3 linked regions of the Kluyveromyces lactis genome follow. The protein of the gene in region 2 purifies or fractionates together with the protein of the main gene of each other region. This does not show direct contact. Links are inferred from orthologs where the notes say so. Each region holds a gene or a part of one and is shown on either strand. Other genes may lie near its edges. The genes, in order: ARP7, RSC9 and STH1.

What was found.
Region 1: the proteins of RSC9 (region 2) and ARP7 purify together in Saccharomyces cerevisiae (affinity purification with mass spectrometry; 5 studies listed by BioGRID). This does not show direct contact. The link is inferred for Kluyveromyces lactis from reciprocal best matches to the Saccharomyces cerevisiae genes RSC9 and ARP7.
Region 3: the proteins of RSC9 (region 2) and STH1 purify together in Saccharomyces cerevisiae (affinity purification with mass spectrometry; 7 studies listed by BioGRID, with this or other methods). This does not show direct contact. The link is inferred for Kluyveromyces lactis from reciprocal best matches to the Saccharomyces cerevisiae genes RSC9 and STH1.

What each region holds. Positions count from the first base shown.
Region 1 is NC_006041.1:566,678-570,027, forward strand, and holds ARP7 (Arp7p), read right to left. Parts: upstream 1,949-3,350; coding exon 632-1,948; downstream 1-631. Other genes in the region: EAF6 (Eaf6p), read left to right, coding at 2,399-2,746. UniProt on the Saccharomyces cerevisiae protein: Component of the chromatin structure remodeling complex (RSC), which is involved in transcription regulation and nucleosome positioning. RSC is responsible for the transfer of a histone octamer from a nucleosome core particle to naked DNA.
Region 2 is NC_006040.1:880,750-884,502, reverse strand, and holds RSC9 (Rsc9p), read right to left. Parts: upstream 2,355-3,753; coding exon 660-2,354; downstream 1-659. Other genes in the region: RPM2 (ribonuclease P), read left to right, coding at 1-326; double-strand break repair enhancer MSC1, read left to right, coding at 3,597-3,753.
Region 3 is NC_006042.1:436,789-440,533, reverse strand, and holds the start of STH1 (RSC chromatin remodeling complex ATPase subunit STH1), read left to right. Parts: upstream 1-850; coding exon 851-3,745. Other genes in the region: RRT14 (Rrt14p), read right to left, coding at 1-196. UniProt on the Saccharomyces cerevisiae protein: Catalytic component of the chromatin structure-remodeling complex (RSC), which is involved in transcription regulation and nucleosome positioning. RSC is responsible for the transfer of a histone octamer from a nucleosome core particle to naked DNA.

The sequences.
Region 1 (3,350 bases), on a different chromosome or scaffold from region 2:
TGAAAACACCGGGTTGCAGGGACAATCACAAATGCCTTACATTTCACTGTTGACATCCTTGACAAGTCCCTGTTATTGCTGTTGATAAGATGTCCCTGATGACCCAAGGGTCATCAGGGACATTGTGTTTACCTTCTGATAAGCCTCCCCTCCATGTCACACTGTTTACGTTATCCTAGCAATTCAAAGGAAGATTCTTGATAATACCTAATCTAAATGCGTACATGTGTTTGAATAATTAGATAATTATTCCACGTCTCTACGGAGTTTTCTGGTGTCCCTTTGTTTTTCCAGGAGGAAATTCTAAAAAAGAAACGTACTACGTTTCTTTTCGGAGTGAGTCAAATCTTCCCGGAACGCGTCTTTTTCTATCATTTTATACGCGAAAATGCTTGTTGAAAGAGAATGGATGCCTTCTTTTAGGGTATTGTCTTACTATTTTGGTACCTTTTCTTGAAAAGGATCAGCGCCTCTAAATTATCCTTCTTCGCAATTACTATTCCAGATCCGGTCACGTGGATTAATACTATTTGGTTTAAGTTTTCTTGGGTTTGAAGATTATCCGGTACGTACATTATTATATTTTTATACTGCCAGTTGAGTGAGAGGTAGGGCAGGTGGATATCGCCATTCATTCGATAGATTCCCACGCATGTAACGATTCGCGCAACGGTAGTCTGCATAAGGTTGTTGCAGATTGCCATGATTGGAAGTTTCTGTCTAATTTGGTCTGTTTGAAAAGGATCTTAGGCCTCACTGTGGTTAGATCGTTTAGGGAGACTGAAACGTCATTCAATATTCTTTGCTCTAAACCCTGAATGTTCGAGGTACTTCCTGTCACTAGAATGTTCGTAAGCAGTAGACTTTGTAGTTGTTCAGAAGTGTAGCTGTGCGTTGGGATGTTCGTATCCTCGTTGTTGTTGCTTTGGTTGCCCGAGGAAGCATTACCCGTCGTAGTGGAGGACCCTGTAGTGTTACTGCCTGCGGTGGACATTGCATTGACACCATTTAATAAACTTTGGATGCATGCTCTGATCAATCCAATGACCCCAATTAATTTCTCCGGATGTGGCTTTTTCTCTATGTCATTGACATCTGCCATTTCTACATCTCCGTTTGCATTGTTACTTACGTGTATCACTGGCTTGAACAAGAGTTCTCCAATGGTGTATAGCTGTTTGTTAGTGAAGGTGAGAGTTTTCTTATCGAGTAGGAAATTTTTGGTCAAGTCCATTGGTGACACCATATGTTGGTAATGAGGAGCCACGTCATAATTAGCATCCAATTCAATCGGAGAAACTTGCAGCATGCTATTCTTGAAGTTGGGTAGCCATTCAGTGGCATCCCTCCAGATTTTCGTTGATTTGCCCGAATCCTGCTTCAAATATTGATCGCAGATCTGCCAGTTTAAGAATGCACCACCGATCTTGTTCTCCTTGCGGTATTGTTTGAAAAGAACACCATCAATGACAACGTCCACTTTCACTCCACTGTGGCCAATGTCCACCACAATTCCACTCGATCTTCCCTGACTCAACGTGTTGCAGACAGCCTCATTCAAAAGTTGGACCATTGGAAAACCGTACCCCAACAGTTGTTCCATAAATCTCTTACGACGCGCACTGTTTAAGTCGGAAGGTAAGACAACACATACTGGATAGTCTTCGAACTGTATGCCTAGGCTTTGAAAGATGTACTGCCATTGAGCATCCATCATATCCCAATCATTTGGAAGTCCGTTCTTATCGTACAATTGGTATATTTCAGCGCTCTCATCGTCGCAATGCTCTATCATTTCCCATTTACCGAAAACTTTAACATCCGATCCATCTCTTTTATAGGCCAAATATTGAGATGGTACAATTAACTGCGGCAAATCTTGGTTGCTGAACCCACAAATAACCCTAGTCTGCGAGATCTGTATCACCACACTCTTCATGGTCGGCATCTTGAACTTGCAATAGATATAACGTAATCACTCTATATGCACCAGAACAAAGAGAAGATCTTCAATTTTCAAAAGCAGATAAGGATTAACTTCTTCAACAGCTACCTGTTTTTGCCGATTATAACTGCTATCAATGGAAAATTATGGCTCTTAAACGGGATACTAGAGTTGATAACACTGTTTATGTTGATGTTTACATGTTGGCTTTTTTTTCGTCGGTTCTTCGAATTTCAAATTCCAAACTGAGTTCCAGTACTGTTACCCGGACTCGTCGCCAATGTTAATATTGTTTGAAAGAACGCACTACTTCAACATCCAATTTGCATATATAATAACAAGAAAGGATGAAACAGACGATCCGCTATCGAACGGATTTGAATCTGGTTTTGATTGTGTTCTACTCTATCGGTAAAGTGATTTAACATAACCTAACACTCATCTCACACAACTATGGACGAACAAAAGAAAGAATACGAGAAACTAAAGAAGAAGCTTCGAGATGCTTTAGTACAGAAGAAACAACTCGAAGCCAAGTGGAATAGTTTAGAGCAAGAGGTATACGATAAAGAAACAGAGTATCTATCACAGAAACCATCTTCCAGAATGGGGAACATTCTGCTCGGGTTTCAGGGTTTCAACAAGAGCAGTTCTGCGCAGCAGATATTGTCTGACCACTCACATTCGTCAAATGCCCAGCCATTGGACGATAATGATCGCATTTTTTCATTAAGTTCGTACCTTTTTGCAAAACAATTGGCTGCTTCCAATCATCAAGAACAAACGAAGTCCAATGATTGAACAGGAAGCTTATCTGTTTGCCCTCTTCACTGAGACATATCCAGGTCCAGGACACCGGACACAAGAGACAAGAGACAAGAGACAAGAGAAACTAAGGGAGGGGGAAGAAAAACGGTATTATTTTACCCCGCATCTATTTCTCTTGAAGCACTCTTTAAATGCTCGTGATAATTAATCACTTTGTAACATTATGTATTCTCTCTTCCTAAAGTATTTTCAATTACTTACCCTTAATTTTTGAGAGGCCTCTTTTTCTTTTCATCCGTCAGATCAACGATCATAGAATCAGTTTAATCAATAAAACTTGCGTCAAACTACTCGTAGAAGCAAAGGATTGAATCGTTTACAGATTTCCAGTCCAACCGAATTGTCCCAATGTCTTAGATGAGACTCAGGTGCTATGTAATGGTGTATGTATGTGTGGTTAGCATGAATTCTAACCTCCATTCTTGATTGTTAATTGGAGTATCACTCAGCCAATCAATTTTCAGAAACTGCCAAAACCTTGAAATTTTCAGCTTCAAAGAATTAGATATTATTATAACAAAAGATAGAGCAGCAATTACACATTCAAACAAACCAATGAGAACAAAGACAGAATCGT
Region 2 (3,753 bases):
CCAAACTCGAAAACTACATGAGATTCAGGGGTTATCTTAAAACAATAACTTTCACCGAAGACCAAATGTTGCAGTTGCTCAATATATGGCAAAAAATTAACCCAATTTTGGTTGACAATTTGTTCAACAACATCGTCGAATCAGTATGTTTGAACAACGCTGTAAAGGTTATAAACTTCAATGATAATGGTTCTTTTAACGTTAGCAAGACCTCGCTAATGGTACTTTTAGATTCCATTTCTGCCATTTACAAATCTGAAGGCTTATCTGATCATCATTCTAAAGTGGAGAGTTTCAAAGATATTATAGATTCTTCCATGCACTAAACAACTTTCTGCTGATGTTACCTTATTCTTACTATACTTCTATCATACTTTCCATGAACAATCTGTCTCATGAAGAAAGTTTTATTTATTTATTATTTGATGAGTTTTACGATTATTATGACAAAAATGGGTTTACGCTGATCCATTCGATACAAAATTCTGATATTGTCAGAATTGCTATCATCTATTTTTTATTTTGTTTCACCATTTTTAATTCAATTTTATACATTAGTTAGGTCTCCCGTTGTTTAATTTTTACCTTTAATCGATACGTTATACATTTAATTATTACAAAACTACAACTTTAATTACTCTATCGGCCTAACGGTAAGTTCAACCTGAATGTATGAAGTCCAAAAGAACAGTATTTAAAGGTGGCACGTCAGCAATTTGATGTAATATCAAAGGTTTCATATCATGAATAAATTGTGCCACGATCTCGGTACTATCGTTAGAAACAAGTGAAAGGAATGACGCACTTGCTTTAGATACATCAGAAAGATTCTCGGGGAAAACAATATCTGGCAAACAAATTTGAACTGCTTCCGATGGAGTATTGTTGCTTTCAAATTCATCCGGGGTTTCAGTCTGTATAGGCGAGGACTGGTCAATATCTTTATTTGCCTCTACGATTGAAAGAGCTTTTCTGCGAGGCTGTATACCTCTTATTACAAATTTTTTCTTCGACGTTGCTTCATCTACAACTACCAAAGCGGATGCACCGGGCAAAGCATTCGAAACATTTTTAATGAAATCAACGGCAGTTATCAATTTTCGATCTGTTAGTTTTACTTGTTCGCTGAATGTTTGTTCATAAGTTTTCCATAGAAGAATCTGTGTTACTTCGCCATTCAGAGATCTCTCAAAGCAGCATCTCAACCAGGAAGTGGCACGCATTGGTTCGTTTAGCTCAAATAATTCCTTGAGCAGTGGCATTGGCAATTCAGGCGCGTGTGCTGGTGGTTGAGGTTTTACCCTCTGTATAAGTTTGATATTAGTATTCGAAAGGGCATGATAATCAGGGGTTGATACATGATACGTGAGGAGAACAGGGAGAGTACTAACTAGGATATCATATCTTTCCTTATGTGATAGTAATGTCTTTATTCTCTGATGACCAGGTAATATATATTGATAAAGGAAATCTAATGAAGCAATTATTAACTCTTCATCCCTATCAATTAAAAGGTTATGAACAATCTTGTTCAACAAACTATCATCCAAATTATCTGCTGCACTCTTTTGGTCCGATTTAGATCTCACCAAGAGTCTAGATAATGATCTCAAAATTGAGATCACGCAGTATCTATCCTTTGTATCACGAAATATCAAACAGAGGTTTTGGAAATATAGATCGTCTTTTTTTGCTGGTGCAATATAAGATGAAATCGCCTCCATTAAATCAAGAGTATAGATTAACAATTCGTTGAAACTGGATGTATGTGACTGATAGATTGCCGAATCCTTCGAATTGAACGTATTTGCCCACTCCAACACGAACAATATGAACGATTTCAATTCCATATCGGTGGCTAATATCGAAGTGTTTTCCGAGTCCTGTGCCAAATTTCTCAAAAGAAGCATTGTAATTGAACCTTTTTGTAGGGCTTCAAAAGCCTGATTGGAAATTGGGCCAACAAGCTGTGGAATGTATTCTCTGCATGCTGTAATCAAGGGCATAATAATGGGCAACAAATCCAAATTCTCATTCAATTTGATAACATAAGAAGCGTTAATGCTATACCGTAAATATCTTTTCAATGCAAATTTAACTTCTTCGTCTATTCCACTTAACAATGCCATCTTCATACGGGTGAGATCATCAACACCAATCTTAGAGTTTACAGGCAAATGATTGAAGATAGGCAAACTGCCTAATGATTGTTGCAACCCAGCAACAGGCTTAGCGGTAATACCATTGGTCTGGTCTCTGCTAATATTTAATTGTGTTGCGGGCAATGTCTTCAAGCTTGGAATCGCTGTTTCTCCTTCAGCATTGATCACCGGAGTGACTGAATGGCTGGACATCTATTGATTTGTGAAGCACTAGGTATCACACAAAACTAGAAAAAAGCGAGTCTCCGAAAGAAGGTGTGTTTAAGGTATCTAGATCGCCGATATAGGTACAAAGAAAGTAAGCTCCATCTAATTAGTCGCGTTTTCCTTTTCTGTCATTGTACATATTAAGAAGTCCATCTCGAATCTTTCGTTGTTTTGCATGTTGTTGAATTTCGAGTTCAATAATACGGCTTATATCCGGGTAAATGATTACATAAATGCTCTCCGTACATAGTAACAAGGACAGATTAAAGACTATATGCTGTTGCTTAGTGATTCTAATCATAGTTCTGACAGTTAGGTTTATCCTCTTTATGAACACTGACTATCCCCTCTGTGACAGCCTAAGTCCTTTTCAAATGGTTATGGGAACAACGAGTTTAAATTCACCTCCCTGGCAATTGACGTTGATCATGTGACCGAAAAGTGGTAATTCCACGCTAAGGAACGGATCATCAACCGATGATTCAGTGTAATCTCAACATCAAATCGACTCAAACGACCCATTGATTCTCTTCCTTCTTTTCCATTTCTGCCCTGATTCAAACACATTCTAATTACCTAATTAGTTTCCTAGACCCTAACTCCCCCAGAGTTATCACTCTCAGTGATCTGATCTGATTACTTACTCATACATACATCAAAGCAAATTCCACACATCACGGCGTCCGGAAGAATTTTTACCTTAAGGCACAATACAAATGGTGGCATTGCCATCTGCAATTTTAAGACACAGTCGTCCTTTTGCATCGTTTCTTGCTGCCATTAGCAAACCGCAAAAGTCATTTCTTTAACATTAGCAAAAAGACGTCTTTAGAATCCAAAAAATAAGGGAAAAAGGTAACGGGTTAGCGAACATCATAACTGACGCTATTGTGAGCTTGGCTAGACCATGCGTGAGTATATCCATGTCACCCTACCCCTTATTATAAGTGTGTAGAGCTATTATTTGGAACTAAGTGTGGCCATCGATTTTTACAACTTAGTGTGATGCATTGTCACTGTCAACTAGAAGTTTGTTCTGGCAATTCCCATTCTATATATATATATATATATATATATATATCAACAAACGTGGAACACTTTCTCTTGCTTAACAACTGGCATTTTTAGGCTTAGGTATATTTGTATAGGATATCATTTAAAGTGTCTGTTATTAATAAGATTTATTGACATAGCTTATTACACAGAATAACAATATTAATACGCAGGATGAAGCTTAGTAGTGCTTTGATATTTTGTGCAGCTGCTTGCCAAGTAGTTATTTGCAACAATCTATTTGAAAATTGGTCTAGTCAAGACATTATTCAATATTTGAAGGACACTGGTGACTCTGCTAAAAAGGATGCAGACACTTCACTTGAAGAAT
Region 3 (3,745 bases), on a different chromosome or scaffold from region 2:
TCTTTTTGATCCGGTATACATCCTTTTCTTGTACCTCTACTCTTTTCTTCAAGTTCCTATCTATTAGTTGTGCTTTCGAGCCTTTGTCTCGGCTTGTTTTCTTTCTTTCTGCATTAACCGACGCAGAACCCGGCAGTACGCTTTGCAACAATGCGTTCACAGCGTTGGTAGCATGAGCAGCTGCAAGAGATGACATTATAATCAGAGAATTTTAGTTCTTCAAACCTTGATTGTCAATACAGAAGACACTTTTGTAACAGTTCGAAGCACTGTAACTATCTCAATCGGGGAACTTGATAGTTCACTCTCATCACATCTCATCTAATCTCATCTCATCTCATCCATGGCGTATTATCCAAATTTTCATTTTAGGTCATGAAATATTAAACAAGAAAAGAAACAATGGTGCCCACTTTAATGCGAATATTTTGGCACGTGATCGAAGTTGGTTTATTACCCGGTTCTTGTTGTTGTTACCCGTACTTTGGCCCATGGCAATAGTGAATGTCAAAGAAAAAAGTAAACACGATAAATAAAATTGTGAAAAAGAGGATGAATTTGAAAACAGTTTGATTTTATTCTGAATTTAGTTTTGACACGAGAAAAGGACGAACAGAGGTTTGTTTTCAACACGGCAACGGCGGCTAAAAAAATAGACGCACCGAAAGCGAAACAGTAAAGAATTCTAGGGCAATAGTACCTGTTTGTATCGCGTTAGCTTTGTGACAACTCTGAATTTTTTTAGCAGGACTTCAGTTATTGTTTTACCCCCTTTCAGAATAAAAAAGGTTTAAAGCTCACTAGCGGGAAGAGACCTGGATCACGTTAAGAAGTGTGAAATAAAACAACAATGGATCAAGTCGTCGTAACGAATAACGCGGATACAGCGCCTCCTTATCCGCTTCCTATAGTGAATTCTGAGAATGTTGATAATGGGAATTCCGAAACTGAAAACCAGGACGTTAACGGCAATATCGAAGACAACCATGTTGGTGCTGACAAAGGAAGCAACAACAATTTTCGGAACGACAGTGGTAGTGCTATTGGACAGAACCAGATTGCCGCTGTTCTAGAAGAAATGAAGAAGGTGGAAAGAGTAATCTTGCCACTACCTGAAACGAAAGAACAATTAGAAAATTTGATTTATCGTTACAGATACATTTCTCAATATAGAGATCATAATAAGCTTGAAGTTGAGGCTATTGAACAAATTTTCACCCAAATCTCGGATAAACAGGAAGAGTACAAGGAAAGGCTGCTGAGGTTAAGAGAAAACGCAGCCAAAGATATTCAGTGGGACGAAAAGTTGTTGAAGGAGCAAATGGTAAGCTTACAGCTTTTGAGTAAAGATATAAATATACCGGATGGCCTCTTAGAGGATGATGATGATGAATCAGTAAGTTCCGACAGTTCTGATATCTCGGTACAACTGGAGAAGGTTAAACTTTCTGTTGATTTCGACGAAACAAGTGTGCGCTTAGGCCTTCCCGAAGCTTTAAGCAACTTTCGTCTTAAATCTGGAAATGAAGCCTCGCTTGGAGATTGGGAGGTTGAAAAAATAATCTCCACACTCATTGCGAAAAGAATTAAACAACTTGAAAATCTACCCTCTAATTTGGGAACATATTCTTTAAATGATGCGCTTGATTTTGTAACTAAAGATGATATTCCTACCGGCGCAGACGACTTCAAGTTAAGAGCTTTGGTGGAGCTCAAGTCCTTGAAAATGCTAACGAAACAGAAATCTTTGAGAAAGAGGCTGATTGAAAGTGTTGCAGCTAAATCGCATAATATCATTCCATCTCTCCGTGACTCTCCTTATACTTTAGCAGCTCAAAGATCCATTCATGTTAGACCGAAGACCATCGTTCCACAAACTGCTAGATTAGCAGAAGAACTTGAAAGGCAGGAATTGGTAGAAAGCAGGAGAAGAGAAAGAAACTTACGGTTACAAAGGATCAATAATATTGTATCAAGTATCAACGAAAGATTGGAGAATGATACAACACAACGTGATCGCTGTTATCAAATGGGTAGATCTATCGGAAACTTGCATGGTCATTTGGAGAAAGATGAGCAGAGAAGAATGGAAAGAACTGCCAAGCAACGTTTAGCAGCCTTGAAGTCCAATGATGAAGAAGCATATTTGAAATTGTTAGACCAAACCAAAGATACAAGAATTACACATCTATTGAAACAAACTAATTCTTTCTTGGATTCTCTTGCTCAAGCGGTTAGAGTGCAGCAAAATGAGGTACGCATCAAAAGGGGTGAAGAAATTCCTCCAATCACGGATGAAGAAAGAGAAAAAATTGATTATTACGAGGTTTCCCACAGAATTAAGGAAACAGTAGACAAACAGCCAAGCATATTGGTTGGAGGCACGTTGAAAGAGTATCAACTAAAGGGTTTAGAGTGGATGGTGTCTCTATACAATAATCATCTTAACGGTATTCTCGCAGATGAAATGGGTCTAGGTAAAACAATTCAATCCATCTCGTTGATCAGTTATCTTTATGAAATAAAGAACGAGAGGCAACCATTTTTGGTGATTGTCCCTTTATCCACCATCACGAACTGGACTATAGAATTCGAAAAATGGGCACCTTCTCTAAGAACCATTGTGTACAAAGGGAACCCAAACCAACGTAAGGCTTTGCAACATACAATCAAAATGGGAAATTTCGACGTGGTTCTAACTACTTATGAGTACATTATAAAGGATCGTCCACTGTTGGCCAAACACGATTGGGCTCATATGATTATCGATGAAGGTCATAGAATGAAAAACGCTCAATCAAAACTATCTTACACGTTGACACATTACTACAAAACAAAAAATAGGCTAATTTTAACGGGTACTCCATTGCAAAATAATCTACCAGAATTGTGGGCTCTATTAAATTTTGTTTTACCTAAGATCTTTAATTCCTCAAAAACATTTGACGAATGGTTTAATACACCATTCGCGAACACAGGTACTCAAGAAAAGCTAGAAATGACAGAAGAAGAAACGCTTCTAGTTATTAGAAGATTGCACAAAGTTTTACGTCCATTTTTGTTACGTCGTTTGAAGAAGGAAGTCGAAAAAGATTTACCTGACAAAGTTGAGAAGGTTGTGAAATGTAAGCTATCAAGTCTCCAGCAGCAACTATACGAACAAATGTTAAAACATAATGCTTTCTTTATTGGTGCAGGAACAGAAGGTGCAACCAAGGCTGGTATCAAAGGTTTGAACAACAAGGTCATGCAGTTAAGGAAGATATGTAATCATCCATTCGTTTTCGATGAGGTTGAAAATGTTATCAACCCAACGAGAGAGAACAGCTCCATTTTGTATCGTGTTAGTGGTAAATTTGAACTTCTAGACCGAGTTCTTCCAAAATTTAAAGCGTCAGGTCATAGAGTATTGATGTTTTTCCAGATGACTCAAGTTATGGATATCATGGAAGATTTCTTAAGGATGCGAGACCTTAAATATATGAGATTGGATGGTGGTACCAAAGCAGAGGATAGAACTGGAATGTTAAAACTGTTTAATGCACCCGATTCTGAGTACTTCTGCTTTTTACTTTCTACCAGAGCTGGTGGGTTAGGTCTAAATTTGCAGACTGCTGATACGGTCATTATTTTCGATACTGATTGGAATCCTCATCAGGATTTACAAGCCCAAGATAGAGCTCACAGAATTGGGCAGAAGAACGAAGTTCGTATTTTGAGATTAATAACAACCGATTCCGTCGAA